Linked DNA regions of Lonchura striata. The protein of the gene in region 2 purifies or fractionates together with the protein of the main gene of each other region. This does not show direct contact. Links are inferred from orthologs where the notes say so. Each region holds a gene or a part of one and is shown on either strand. Other genes may lie near its edges.

Region 1 (7,229 bases), on a different chromosome or scaffold from region 2:
TTCTTCAGTGGGCCACGTCTGCTCCCCTTCCATGGGATCAGGAACCACTTCTGACTGTAGAGACTCCTGCTTGCTTGGATCTGCCTTCATCAGCACCTTGACATCTTCCTCCATCTCAACAGCACCATTTCCAGAGTCATCCTGAAGGGGAAGAGCAGAGTTCCTAGATCTGAACACACCTAACTGAAGCTTGCAGTCAGTCTCAGGTGAAACTCCCTTCATGATGTCATGACATAACCCTCATTACACACTGCAGGCACAAAACCTCAGCCCAGCAGCAGAACACAGATAGAACTCTCCTTCCCCTCTCCTCACCCACATACCCCCAGCTGTATTTTCCCCAATGAAAGTTTAGAAAACTTATGTTCTAAGAGGACTGGCAAAGCTCTCACCCCACACACCTGAACCTCCATGTCCTGGCTCCTCTTCTGTCCTTTAACCACCCGTGGGTTCAAAGAGAGCGGGTCAGGGGGAGCATCCACCTGGCTCAGCTGGAAGTCCCCATGCCCCACGATGTGCACCAGGCTGTTCACGTTGAGGGTCTGTCCCCGGACAAAGCCGGACACCTTCAGGGTGCCCAGCAGGTCGCTGTCCTGGCTGGGCACAAACTCAGCAGCACGGGCCAGCAGGTGAGCGCGGCGGTCCCGGAAAGCCAAGTGCCTCTGCTTCTGGGAGCTGAGGTGCCTCAGGAGCAGCGAGGATTCCTGCTCCGTGTTCAGTGGGAACAGCTTGGCCTCGGGGAAACGCTTCTCAATGGATTTGGAGAGTTTCTTCCTGGCATCTATCCTCTTCTTAGGGGGCAGGTCAGTGCCTCCCGGGACAGCCAGAGCTGCCGAGCAAAGAACAGAGCTCCCATCAGATCCTAAAACTCCTGATGTTCTTTTTACCAAACACAGGCAAACACTTGGATGTCAGCAGCCCAAATGGCCAGATTTGCACCACAGGTACAAAGGGAGTTTGGTTTTAGTGGTGCCCAGCAGAACAAAGAGCAACAGCCATAAACTGAAATGAAAGAACTTCTACCTCAATATAAGAAAAAAGTTCTTTTCACTGAAGGTGACAGAGCCCTGAAATTTAATTACTGTGACACTCATTCCCCATATTAAGCACCCCCAGAAACCCAAAACATTTCTCACCATAACTGGGGAGCCCCTGTGCAAAGAGGCAGGAGAGGCAGTGTTCCCCTGCACTGTCCCATCCATCCACAGGATCCAGGATGAACAGCAGGGAATCAGCAACCTTGGCAAGGTCTAAAACCGCGTGAAGATCCCCTGCACCCAAAACACCTCCATTAGTGGGGCTGCCAGAGGCACCAGAACCAAGAACCCAAGCAACAGCAGTGCCTCCTCACCTGCCTGGGCTGTGACAAAGTGCCAGCGCTGCTTGAGCTGTGGGCAGAGCAGAGCAAAGCCACCAGCTCCGCCCTCATCTGCACGGACAATGGCCGAGCTGAGGCTCTGCAGCAGCCGCAGCGAGTCCTGCACTGCAGCCCGGCTGTGCAGCAGCACCACAACCACCAGGTGCGGGGGGCCATCCCTGCTGCCAAGGCTGCGCTTCTCTGCCAGCACCTGCGGGTGAGGGCAGCGTGTGAATGCCCCAGGGCAGAGTGTGAATGCCCCGGGGCAGGGTGTGGATGCCCGAGGGCAGAGTGTGGATGCCCAAAGGCAGGGTGTGGATGCCCAAAGGCAGGGTGTGGATGCCACAGGGCAGGGTGTGGATGCCCCAGGGCAGAGTGTGGATGCCCCAGGGCACCGTATGGATGCCCCAGGGCAGAGTGTGAATGCCCCAGGGCAGGGTGTGTCGATGCCCCAGGGCAGCGTGTGAATGCCCCAGGGCAGGGTGTGGATGCCCAAAGGCAAGGTGTGGATGCCCCAGGGCATAGTGTGATTGCCCTGGGGCAGAGTGTGAATGCCCCAGGGCAGGGTGTGGATGCCCCGAGGGCAGAGTGTGGATGCCCCAGGGCAGAGTGTGGATGCCCAAAGGCAGGGTGTGGATGCCCAAAGGCAGGGTGTGGATGCCCCAGGGCAGAGTGTGAATGCCCCAGGGCAGCGTGTGGATGCCCCAGGGCAGAGTGTGGATGCCCAAAGGCAGAGTGTGGATGCCCAAAGGCAGGGTGTGGATGCCCAAAGGCAGGGTGTGGATGCCACAGGGCAGGGTGTGGATGCCCCTAGAGCAGAGTGTGGATGCCCCAGGGCAGAGTGTGGATGCCCAAAGGCAGGGTGTGGATGCCCCAGGGCAGAGTGTGAATGCCCCAGGGCAGGGTGTGGATGCCCAAAGGCAGAGTGTGGATGCCCCGAGGGCAGAGTGTGGATGCCTGAGGGCAGAGTGTGAATGCCCCAGGGCAGAGTGTGGATGCCCAAAGGCAGGGTGTGGATGCCCCGGGGCAGGGTGTGTATGCCCCGGGGCAGAGTGTGGATGCCCAAAGGCAGGGTGTGGATGCCCCGGGGCAGGGTGTGTATGCCCCGGGGCAGAGTGTGGATGCCAGCCCGAACGCGCCTCTTCTCCCGCTCCCGACCCAGGCCAGACTTCCCCACACCGCACCCGGTCCGGTAACCCTCCGCTTGGCCCGAACCGGGCCTGGCACCCGCTCGTTTCCTCCGCAAAAACCCAAACCGGTTGGACTGCACGGCCCGCACGCAGAGCCCCACGGCCGCATTCAAGCCCCCTCCGGCACAGACTCGAGCCGACCCGTTTCCCGCTGCCCCGCCACGACCGGCCCGGTTCCGCCGGTGCCTCACCGCCTCCTTGCGCTGCCGGCGGAGCTGCAGCGCCTGATGCCGCCGGTCCACCCTGCTCAGGTCGCGGAGCCGCCGGCGAGGCTGGGCCTTGACGGGGACGCGGCCTGCGGGAAGAGAACGGTAAGGCCGGCGGAGGGGCGGCGGGGAGCCGGCGGGGAGCCCGTGCCGTCTCACCTCCAGCGCGGCGCTGCGAGGAGCCGCTGTGCTTGCCGCCCTTGTGCGCCTTGTTCTGCTGCTTGAGCGGCCCGGGCCGGTGCGCGCCCGCCGCCGCCATCACCATGCTGCCGCCTCGCCGCCGTGCGCCACTTCCGCAGCGACGGGAACCGCGGGATCGCACGTGGGCGGCGAGAGGGAGGGACCGGGAAAGGAACCCCGGGAAAGGAGCCCGGGAGCGGGACCGAGCCCCGGCAAAGGAGCCGGGGACCGGGACCGAGCCCCGGGGCCGGGACCGAGCCCCGGGAAAGAAGCCCGGGACGGGGACTGGGGCAGGGACCGAGCCCCGGGAAAGGAGCCCGGGAGCGGGACCGAGCCCCGGCAAAGGAGCCTGGGACCGGGACCGGGACCGAGCCCCGTCAAAGGAGACCGGGATGGGGACCGGGACCGAGACCCGGGAAAGGAGCCCGGGAACGGGACCGGGACGGAACCCGGGAAAGGGCAAGGGCGAGCCCCGGGACCGAGACCGAGTCCTGGCAAAGGAGACCGGGACCGAGCCCCGTGAAAGGAGCCCGGGAACGGGACCGGGACCGAGCCCCGTGAAAGGAGCCCCGGACCGGGACCGAGCCCCGTGAAAGGAGCCCGGGAACGGGACCGGGACCGAGCCCCGTGAAAGGAGCCCGGAACGGGGACCGGGACCGAGCCCGGGAAAGGAGCCCGGGAACGGGACCGAGCCCCGGGAAAGGAGCCCGGGAACGGGACCGAGCCCCGGGAAAGGAGCCCGAGACGGGGACTGGGACCGACCCCTGGGAAAGGAGCCCCGGGACAGGGACCGGGACCGAGCCCCGGGGAAAGGGCAGGGGCGAGCCCCGAGGCGCGGAGGGTAGAGCCCCGGGGTTGGTGGCCGTAGTGCCGCTGGGCAATGAGAGGCGGGAGGCAGAGCCGTTCGTTCAGCGCTTTATTGGTTGGTTCTTTGTACAGGTATTTACACGGAGAGGGAGACAGGGCTCGGCCGCGCTCCGGGAAGGGCCGGGGGGATGAAGGAGTTGAGGAAAGGCCCTGCCGAGCGTCTGGCATCGCGCCCAGGCGCCAGGACAGGACAAAGCCTGCCGGAGTGGAAACATTCCTCCTGTCCCCGGTCTGTTACCGCGGTGACCTCGGTCTTGCTAATCATTATCCAGGCAGGAATGTCCGTTCCTAGGCAGAGGCCTCAGCCCCCATGGGACATCACCCCAAACCCCAGCAGAGCCTGCCCCGGGATCACTCCATCGCTAGGTTAAACATTCACAGGGGTGTTGCAATCGCCAGGAAAGCTGAAGCAAGCCGAGGGAGAGCCAGGGCAGCTGCATGGGAAGGGAAAAGCAGGTTCCTACAGGTTCCTGCTGCCTCTGAACTTGAGGCATCTTCCCACCTCCTCCTCCTGAGAGGAAATCAGCATGACAGCAGCAATGTCAGGTTGTCAGCTGTGAATGGTCTTTAGGGATCCTTTCCTACCCCTAAAAGCAGACTGGCTGTTTAAACTTTTGAAACTCTAAATATGAGCACTACCTGAGAGGAAGGAAGACACAAAACTGAAGAGTACTGGTGACAGATGAACACTGCAGTGATTGAGTCTCTCTAAACAGGAATCCAGTGGCTGTGGCACAGCATGAGAGTCTCCCCCAAAGGCTGTTTGCCCACAGCACTGCCTCAGCTCTGCCTTGCAGAGCTAAAGGCAAACAGCCTTAGAGGGGGTTCCAGGGAAGAGGGAAAAGCTAGGATACTTCTAAATCAAGGAAAACATCCCGTGAGTTAGTTATACCTTGTCATTTAAGCAAGAGTAGGGAAAGGAGGAAGGCTGGAAACTCTTCCTAGGGTTATCACAAAGCCAAGCACTTCTGCCTTCCAGTCATGCAGAAGTCTGGAAACCCAGAGGCATCAAGAAGGGTTCCACACCATGGGGGCTGATGAGCTTTGCAATTCTCAGTGCTGCTCAGGCTTTCCCACACATCCATACATTGTCATCTTACAGGGATTTCACTGACCTGCACATTCCTGCAGGGCCCTCCAGACACATGCCACCAAAAAATCACAACCTGCCAAGCAGAGCAAGCAGGAACAGAAAGCCAAGCACTGCCTCACAGCATTCCAAGTGAAAACAAGCATCCCTGTTACAGCAGTAACTACCAAGGAAATATTGCTGCAGTCAGTGTGAGCAGGGAATAACCTCCAGCAGCTGAGATGCAAATCCCTGCAGCAAAGCAAGGCCCTGGCAGGGAGAGGGCTCCTCTCAGCTCTCCTGTACCATCACAATACAGAGCCTGGTGCTCTGCACACACAGGATGCTGTGACAGCACCATACATCACCCATGTTGTCCCCTCTGCACCAAAAAGAACAGGCTTTGTATCAGAGCACAAACCCAGACAAGCTGTGCCATGAGTGGAGCTCACAGGCTGCTCCAACTCTATCCGAATCCCAAAAAGCAGCTGCACTGCAGAAAAGCTGAGCTCACATTCCTGTTCCCTATAGAAGGAGCAGCTGCTTCTGAAGCAGCAAGAACTCTGGGCTGACTCCACACAGGGGGAGCAACAAGCTGGGACAGGCTGGATGCAAAGCCAGGGCCTTGGCTTAGGAAGGAAGACTGGTTGCAACTGGAAGGGCCAGTTTATTAGAGAAACCTCACATTGCAGAGAAGTCACAACACATTGGAAAGGTCCAGGCCTGCTGAGGAGGGCCAGTCTTCTGCAGCAGCATAGATCTACATCCCCCAGCCCCAAAAACCCAGCAGGTGCCACAGAGGGAAGGGTTACCTGGAACACAGCTTATGTTTTACAAGCAGCCTGAGAGAAGGGCCAGTAGTAAAGTTCCAAAAAAAATCCTCCCCGGCAGAAAACAGTTACAACAAAAATGGTTTACAATGTTTAAAAGCTCCGTGTTCTTGGCTGCAGCATAAAGGGGAGGCAAAGGTCTACAACACACACAGGCCTCCGTGGCTCTGGGCACTCTGATCTACCAGTGAAGGCCAGAGGGAGGGGTCTTCTCATCTTTGTTGCTTTCCAGGGAAAAGGGTGGGATTCGGACATCAAAGTGGGAGCCATCAGGCCTCTCAAATCGAAAAGTGCCCCTGCAAAAATAATGGCAGAGGTCACACTGAGGCCAGGGACAAACACACCTAAGACACATCAGCAAAAGGGAAAGACCTGAGCTCTTCCACGTCCTGGGGGTCCATCTGCAAGGCTGGTCCAGCAGCAAGGACATGGGCTCAGCTGCAAACATGTGCTGCCAAGATAACTCATTTATGGAGGACTCCTGGGCAGTTTTACAGCACATCCCTAACATATCTCCTGCACAAAGCTGTGATGATTGCAGCCCATAGCAATCATCACATGCACCCAAGCATCCTCCATGCACCTGCAGTGGTGTTTACCCAACTCCCACTCCCCAGGAGACAGAGCCATCTGAGCTATTTTTACAGACTGGTTACATGTAAATTCAGATTTGTGTTTCTTGGCAGGAGCTCCACAGGTTGCCAATGACATTAAGAAGTCCCATCACAGATGTAATTTGGAATAGCTTCAGCTTTGCATTTCAGAACTGAGCCTGCCTGTCCTGGTACAACCATTTGTTTCCTGCTCTGAACTACAGAACACAACGTGGGCAAGAGGGTTGTTGAGATAAATTAACATGTTCTCAGGACAGAGAGGACACAACTGAACACCAGAAGTCAAGCTGAGCAGCTTCTGAGCTGCAGAACCTTTGTCTCTTTGTTGTCAGGATGTATGCAGAGAGGGAAAAACTACTAGACCATCTGGTTTTATTCCCCAGGGCATCCATTCAGGCAATTCAAAACACTTCACATGACAAACAAGGTACACCCTATATACAAAGAGCTGCTCTCCTGTTTTTCCCAACTCAAAGGCAACTTAACTTTGAAGATTTCCTTTAAAAAATGCAGAAGGACCTGTCATATGGAAGGCAAGAGTTTGCTGTGCAATCTTTGTCCACGCAAAGGTGACACAAATGTGCTAACCCAAAAGGCAAATAAAGACAAGCTGCTTTAATCCCAAAGCACAGGGAAAGAACAACTAAGCTGGGCACTTCTCTCCCAGCACTTACAGAAGAAGAAACTTAAACACCAGTTAGACTGGAGTCCTTACCTGGTCTAAACTAGGAAAACCCCTGCATGACCAATTCCTGACACAGATGTGCACAGAGATGGAGTTAAAGCCCAGCCCTCTCTCAAGAGACACCAGAGCACACATCCCTGCTGCTGAGGAATCACCAGTACAAGGCCTTGGCTCTTGCACCAAGGACAAAAGGAAGAATTGCTTAATGTCTCTAAATCCAGTCTACTACAG
Region 2 (7,653 bases):
CCCTAAAAGAGTCACTCCAGTGCTGCTCTAAGAGCTGGACCTCATGATCTTGGAGGTGTTTCTCAACCTAAATGATCCTGGGATTGTGCTCTTGGAAACTCTTCTGGGCAGCAGTGCCACCACCTGTACCAGACAGGTGTCACCTGCAGTGCCACTGGTCAGTGACTAACTGGGGTCCTCCCAGTCCAACATTCCCTGACAAGGATTCTCCTTCTGGTGCACTTCTCAAAATAGATTAAGAATCCACAGTGCCACCGAGCTGCCCAGCGTTCTTCCTCCCTGCCTAGGCCTCCTAAAAGGGTTTTTATTGCAAATAAAAACCTCCTGTGGGCATTCTCTTCTTTACCAAGCCCTCTCCAAGACCTAACACAGTTTTCTTTTCCACTCATGTGAAAGGCCATGTTTACACTTCTTTAAAAGATGAGGACAAACACATTTCTTATACCATTTTATTTCCAAAACACTGGCTCCAAAATTAACAAACCAAGCTTTTAAATTCAAAGCCGATTTTTAATTATTTTTTTAAAGAGCCCAGTTCCTGCCTAGCAAGCAATGTCAAATTTGGGTGGGGCTACAGAAGTTGCAGTTGTAATGATATCCAAGCCAACACACCCAGATGAACAATGTCTCCCTCACCTTCCAAGCTGTGTTTAACATGAAGTTTGCATGGCACACATAGCTCCCGAAGCATTCCCGACTCCCTGAGGAAACAAGGGGTTAAAGCCAGCAGCCTGCACTGGGAGAAGGGCTCTCCAGTGGGGACAGGCATTCCATGTGAGCAGGAGAAGCAGGGAGAGGAGCAGGCATGCTGCAGAACTGGAATGGAACAGCCACGGCTTTTGAATTTCGAGTTCAACGCCCTGCACTCAGAAAAACCCGGTTCCTGCTGAAGCCTAACCCAAAATACGAGTTATTTCTCAGCATCACCAAGCTTTGAACTGCTAATTCAGCAGGCAAATCACTTGCAGCCTTATGGAGTACTGGAATAGCTTAAAAATACATTCACACAGGAAACAAACCCTGGCATCGAGCACCTTTATGATGCCAAAACTGCAAAAACAGCCACACACTAAAATAGACATTTTCAAACTGGAAATCGACTTTGTTTACCACACTGCTACAACAGCAGCCCCGACTTTCTCTGTTTCACTACCATAACAAACCACGAAAACAGTTATTTTTCACAGTGCTCTTGAAAAAAAGATGTGAAAATCAGAAGGTGAAGAAGAGGGGCTGCCCAAAGGCCTCCTGTGGTGCCAAAGACTCTGCCATGTCCCAGGTGTGTCTCGTGGGAGAATCCTGCACCTCACTGAGGCTTCCAGAGGACACTGGTCTGGCAGATCATTGCATCCCTCGCACAGAAAACGCTCCTAACGCTAATGAGCACGAGATCCACAGGCAATGAGTATTTCTACCGTCCTTCCTACATTTGTCTTCTCTCACAAGGTGCTTTCGAATAACATTTACCACACCCACTTTCCAAAACAAACAACACACTAAACTTATTTCTTTCTCTAACAGCATAAAGCAGTGGAGAAGCAGCATCACTCTGTAGCATAAATGCAGAAGCATTAAGATGCTCTCAGGTAGCACCGTGCTCTGTGAAAAGCTCCTTGAAACTGCAGTTAACCTGTTATCCCCTCGCTCCCACGTCATCTGCTGTCGCCACACTCTGATGGTTTTTTGTCCCAAGGATTCCTTCGAGCCCGAGCTGTGGCCCACCTGCCGAGGGCTGAAGTTGGGGCGCGGTGGAGCTGCTGCCCGCACGGGACGCCATGTGCCCACATCCCTCCCTATCCATGCGCGGCCCCGGCCTCCTAATTCCCAAAGCACGTTCTTCAGTCTGTTTGTAGCTCAGTTCCTTGTTTACAAAGTTTTTCCGTGTAGGGTGTCTTAGAAATTTAGGGGAAACTAAGAATTCGTGCAAGTTGTTATTTAAGAATATATGGAAACAAGAAGATGGCTATCAACGCTGTTCCCCTAGAAAATGACCCAAACAAATTTTGGAAAGCCCAGGAACTTCCAGATATCCTGTCAAACCCATCAAACACGAGTCAAGTTCAGGATACAAGGCCGAATGGGGCTTGGAGCAACCTGGTCTAGTGGAAGGTGTCCCTGCCCATGGCAGCAGGTGAACGAGAAGGGCCTTTCCAACCCGAACCGTTCCAGAATTCCATATGCCGGTTTAGATGGGATACTGGGGCAGGAATTGCTCCCTCTGAGGGTGGGCAGGGGCTGGAGTAGAATCCCCAGAGCAGCTGTGGCTGGATCCCTGGCAGTGCCCAAGGCCAGGCTGGACAAGCCGGGGACGGCGGAAGGTGCCCTACGGCAGGGCTGCAACGGGATGGCCTTTCAGCTCCCTCCTAACGCGACCGCCCCACGGCCGGCATTTCCCAGCTCGCGTGTCTCCCGTCCGCCCCGCACGCCCGACTCCATTTTGCGCGGGCCGAGCCCGGCACACGTGGGGCCGGCCGAGCCCCGCGCCGCCGCCGCCGGCCCCGCGGCCGCCCCGGGCGCGCTCCGCCATGCGCGGCCCCACGTGCGGCCCGACCCTGCCCCAACTCCCTCCCCGCCGGCCGCTCACCCTCCTTCCGCAGCGGCGCTCCGGGCTGGCCCCCGCCATCCTCCCGGCGCTCCCCGCCGGCGAAGGGCGGCAGCGGGTTCTTGCGCTCCTTCTGCGACTCCCTGCGCAGCTGCTTGGCCGCGCTGCCCGCGCCGCCGCCCGCCTGGCCCGCTCCGCCGGCCCCGCCCGAGGAGCCGCTCTGGGCGCCCGCCGGCCCGCGGGCCCCGCCGCCCGCTTGGCTCCCGCCGCCGCCTCCGCCGCTCTCCTTCCTCCGGCTCTCCGCCGCGCGCAGCACCTCGAAGGGATCGGACTCGTCATCGAAAAGCTGATCGAAGCGGTTGGTGACGACGCACCCGAAGCCCTCCTGCAGGTGTCCGGGCATGATGGGCCCCCGTCGGCGGGATCCTGCGCGGATGCTACCGGGCCCCCCGCGCCCTGCTGGCTGCCGCACAAGATGGCGGGCCCTGAGGAGACGCGCTTCTCTTCCGGCGCGGCCACATCCGGGCACCCCCCCACGCAACGGTGGAGAGGGCGCTGCAGCGCCGCCAGCGGCCGCGCCGCGAACTACAGGCGCGCATTGTGTGAGGCGGGCGCGGAGTTTCCCGCCGTGGGCTGTACCATCGGGGAGAACGGGGGGGAACAGGTCGACGGGGGAGGCGGGGGGGGACGCGGGGCGGGGCGGAGCCCCGCACCGCGCCCCCCCCGCCTCCCCCGTCGACCCCCGCGCTTCGCTCGCCGGTGGTACCTCCCGCGTGTGGGCTCGCCTCAGAAATAAAACCTAAATTTAAAAAAAAATAAAGTTGATTTCCAGGCTTTGATCTGAAAGTTTTTTTTCCGATTTCTTCGGCATTTCTGCTCGTCTAATTAAGTGGAGGTGGGAGATGTTTGAGGTATTAATACGTATCAGCATATTACTAACATACAGTATAGATAAATACTGAATATTTCTATCTATAATAATATGTAATGTATGATATAGTAATATCTATCATGATGTGTAATATGTAATAACAATGCATCGTGCATTCTACATAACGTGCAAAGCACACCTAATGTTAACATAAATACACACATAATGTTAACATAAATGCTGTATATTAATCATAACGTATTGATGTAATTATGCATCAACATACCGCTATTATAATATTGATATATTATATATGCACTAGTGTCAGATTATAACCAAAAGGCATTATATCAAGAGATAGATATAAAACATTATATACATATAAAAAACATAATAAACATAATAATGACACCGCCTCATTTATTTATATAAATAAAAAACATAACAGATTGACATGTCCTTCAAAACACAATTTGACTGCTCACAGTTTATATCTCTAAGTCATCAGAACATTTTGGCACCTGTTACAAAATAAACTTTGCGCTCAGCAAGGATGTTATTTCCAACATTTCCTTTGCTTGCTCCCAGAAGCTTGAAATAATTGCTTTAAAAATTAATTTAATTCCATTTCTTCAGTCCTTGAGTGCGTATCGCTCATCAATTCAAAACCGGTTTGGAAAACTACGTAGTTTAGTTTCTTCAAATAAGTGAAAAATTTTTGGGTTCATGGATTGTTCTTCGTTATATATTATATATTATATATTATATACTATACATTATTATACACTATATATTATATATTATATAGTATATATTACATATTGTGTATTATGTATTGTATATTATATGTATTGTATATTTTATATTATATAGTATATCTTATAGAGTATATAATTATATATTACATATTATATATTATATATTATATATTATATTATATGTATTTATTTCGTTATAGATTTTATATTCTATTTCCCTGCAGTCCCACAGGTCCCTGTGCTCACTTCTGGGGAGGTTTTTGAGGAAACCCCTCCTGCAGCAACTCTGAGGGGGATTGCAGCAGCTCCCCACCCTTCCTGGGATATGAATAATCACCATAAATGACACCCTCAGAACTGAACACGTCCTCTCAAAGCCTTTTAGGGATGAATCAAACGGCACCGAGCAGCACCTAATTAAAAGGACATTCCCAGGAAAATCCTGGACGCCCCGTCAGCGCTCCGAGGCGCGTTGTGCCACACACGTATTTTATGGACTGAGGTATTGATGATCCCAAGATTGTAAAAAGTCTCTGGTTTTTTTGCTTTGTTGCCAAAGCAGAAGCCATAATTGGTCTGTGCTGGTTTCCAGGTTGTTTATTCTGTTTATCTCTCACATGTTCTGCTGCCCTGCCCAGCTCTGTCCTGCAGGGCAGCGTGTGGGGCTCTGCCCTCAGTGGGATGTGACAAACATTCAATACCAGAAACTCCCTGGGCTGCATTTACAATAACGTGCCAATATCTGTCACCCACGTTGGACAGTGTGTCCCCAGCCTGAACCAACAGAAAAATGCCAACACCACAGTGAGACATGGAGGGCATGAAGAAGGAGAAAAAGGACAAGGCACACCCAATTTCCTCCATCTTGTCCCCTTTGGACCCCTCATCTAGAATCCTAAAATTTTACTTTTGCACCCTTGCCACACTTAATTATGACTTATATCAAACACTCAGAGCTTGTAATTCATCCTGTGAGATTGAAAACTCTTTTCCATGGCCAGAGATCACAGCCAGTGTCTCTGGGGGCTCTGTCCAGGGGGTTCCTGAGCCCTGCCAGGGTCCCAGGGCAGCCAGGGGGATTCCCTGGATTCCCACAATGGACGAAACACGAACCATTCCCACTTGGATCCCGCTTTTGCCAGATGGCACTGGCAGCTTTATGGGAGGGGGTTTACCCACAGAAATGGGCTCTGAGGGCTGGGATTTGCAGCTCTGAGGGAAGGCAGAGCATCTGCCTTTTGCTGCTTCCCAAGGGGCTCCGCATGTCCGGCTCCCCTGCGCTGTTTGCTCAGAATTCCACAATTTTCCAGCGACACAAGGCTTGGGGCGGCACTTTGGATTAAACACACGCCGAACACGGGACACAGGGAATGGCTTCCCACTGGCAGGTGGGATATTGGGCAGGAATTCCTGGCTGGGAGGGCAGGCAGGCCCTGGCACAGGTGCCCAGAGGAGCTGTGGCTGCCCCTGGATCCCTGGAATCTCCAAGGCTGGGTCGGAGCAGCTTGGGAGAGTGGAAGGTGTCCCTGATCCAGATGGTCCTTTCCAACCCAAACCATTGCATGCTCTGATGAAAACAGACTGGAAGTGTTTAATACACAGAGGGAGATGGATCACCACGTGAACACAATCAGCGGAGTCGTGCATTCTGGGCAGCAGGAAGCAGGAATTGCAGCCTGCAGGAAGCTCCAGCTCTGCTCTGGGATGTCACACGCTGTGCTTGCACGCTGCTGTTTGCATTAATCAGCCCCACAATCAGCCACATGGGTCAAAAGTCCAAAAGACAACGTTGTGCATGAGTATAATTCACAGTTTTCAGGCACTTCCAGCCTCAAGACAATATTATCATTCCTAACATTAAAAAAAGGGTGTTTAAAATATTTAAACTAAAAGGAAGCCTTTACACCAAGAAGATCCTAGAGCTGCACCCACACAAGACTCGTTGCTCATGTGAAGGACCAGGACAGGACAGAAGCCACCTGTGTTTAGGCCAAATTTGAAAAACAACCCATTAACTGCACATTGAAACGGATGAGTTTTCCCCAGGGGACAGGCACAGCCTTGCAGGAATCCCAGCCCACACTGGATCAGGACACAGATCTGCAGCCAGCTGAGGCGAGGATGAGTGGCAGCACTCAGACAGTGAGGGAGTGATTAAAAAACTTAAAAAACACCCCGAGATCCTCCAGGAGCTGCCACCAAAAGCTGGGCTGGGTCTTCCTGCACGACAGACGCGTGTGTTCTCCTTTCCCACCGAGCAAACCGGTGTTCCCAGTGGCCAGAAGAGCAGATTCCCAGATTCCCAGTGCTATTTCTGGCTGGGACACGCAGAGCTCCGTGGCCCATGGATATCCCACCTAAGGAGCTGCTCCCGAGCTGCTGCCCAAAAGAGGCCTGGAGAGCCTTTGGACACGCCACGCTCCTCTGCTATTCCCAAGCTTTGCCAGCAGCTGTCAGCTGCCTGCTTAATAAGCAGGAATAGGAAATGCAGCAAGTTCACAGCAGGGGGAAAAGTATTCAGCCGGGTCCTTGCTCCATCCCAAAACCACGGTTTTCCTGATTTTGTACTCTTTGGATCTGTGTTGTGGGGTTTTCAGTAATTTCGCTGTCAGCATAGGCAATGTGTGGACAAGGAGGATGTTGCTTGGAGATTTTTTTGACAGGAAGCTTCCCTTAGGTTGGACTCCGTGGTCTTGGATGTCTTTTCCAGCTTTAATGGTTCTGTGATTCCAGGCCACAGGAAATAAAGGGATTGCTTCCAAATAAAGTCGAGTATAGCCACGACTTCTGAGCATGAAATATTTCACATGCATCACAGAGAAATGTAGCAACTTCTCAGCTTGCATCCACACGTGGATCCCTTCTGAGAAGAGCTGCCAGAATTAACCAGCACTGCCCAGCTGGACAGCAGGAATGAGCAGGAGAAGGCAGAGCTCACGAGGAGATCCACGATCTGCAACGCACCTCTTTATCCTCCCACATATTCTGCTCATTTCAGCACATCACTAGTTGCTGCTTCTTCTTTTTTTTTTTTTTTTTTTTTTAATATGGCAGAAAACGCAGCAGTTTCATTATGAGGAGGGCTGTAAACATGTGAATAACAGCAGAATTTCTACCCTAAGTACGTGCAGTGAAAAATGCCCTCCCACAGCATTGCTCTGTGCTTTAAAATGTGCACAGACAAGCAAAGCAAATCATGCAGACACAGAACTTGGCTTGTAAATCAAGGCAGACTAATTGAGCTCTGCCTGAACTTTCTTCCCCTGAATCCTAAACAACCTGCCGAGCAAGTGTTCTTCCTTGGAGCAGCCAAGGTAAGAGGTATTTTTAGTTTGGAAAAGCAGCTCTGGAGCTGTACGAAGCAGAAGGTCGGGTACACCAAACACTCCTTCTGTCGCTGCTATTTCTGTGAGCTGGGCTGATTCCTCTGAGCTGTGCTCCAGCCACCCCTTCCCTGCCTCTCCAAGCTGTGGAATGGTGGT

What was found. The genes of interacting proteins can lie anywhere in the genome.
Region 1: the proteins of SERBP1 (region 2) and TSR1 purify together in Homo sapiens (affinity purification with mass spectrometry; 3 studies listed by BioGRID and IntAct, with this or other methods). This does not show direct contact. The link is inferred for Lonchura striata from reciprocal best matches to the Homo sapiens genes SERBP1 and TSR1.

What each region holds. Positions count from the first base shown.
Region 1 is NC_134622.1:7,226,495-7,233,723, forward strand, and holds the start of TSR1 (pre-rRNA-processing protein TSR1 homolog), read right to left. Parts: upstream 3,041-7,229; 5' UTR 3,019-3,040; coding exon 2,913-3,018; intron 2,843-2,912; coding exon 2,739-2,842; intron 1,569-2,738; coding exon 1,352-1,568; intron 1,272-1,351; coding exon 1,137-1,271; intron 830-1,136; coding exon 402-829; intron 142-401; coding exon 1-141. Other genes in the region: POLDIP2 (polymerase delta-interacting protein 2), read right to left, coding at 5,881-5,995. UniProt on the Homo sapiens protein: Required during maturation of the 40S ribosomal subunit in the nucleolus.
Region 2 is NC_134611.1:5,097,234-5,104,886, reverse strand, and holds the start of SERBP1 (SERPINE1 mRNA-binding protein 1), read right to left. Parts: upstream 3,052-7,653; 5' UTR 2,946-3,051; coding exon 2,585-2,945; intron 1-2,584. UniProt on the Homo sapiens protein: Ribosome-binding protein that promotes ribosome hibernation, a process during which ribosomes are stabilized in an inactive state and preserved from proteasomal degradation.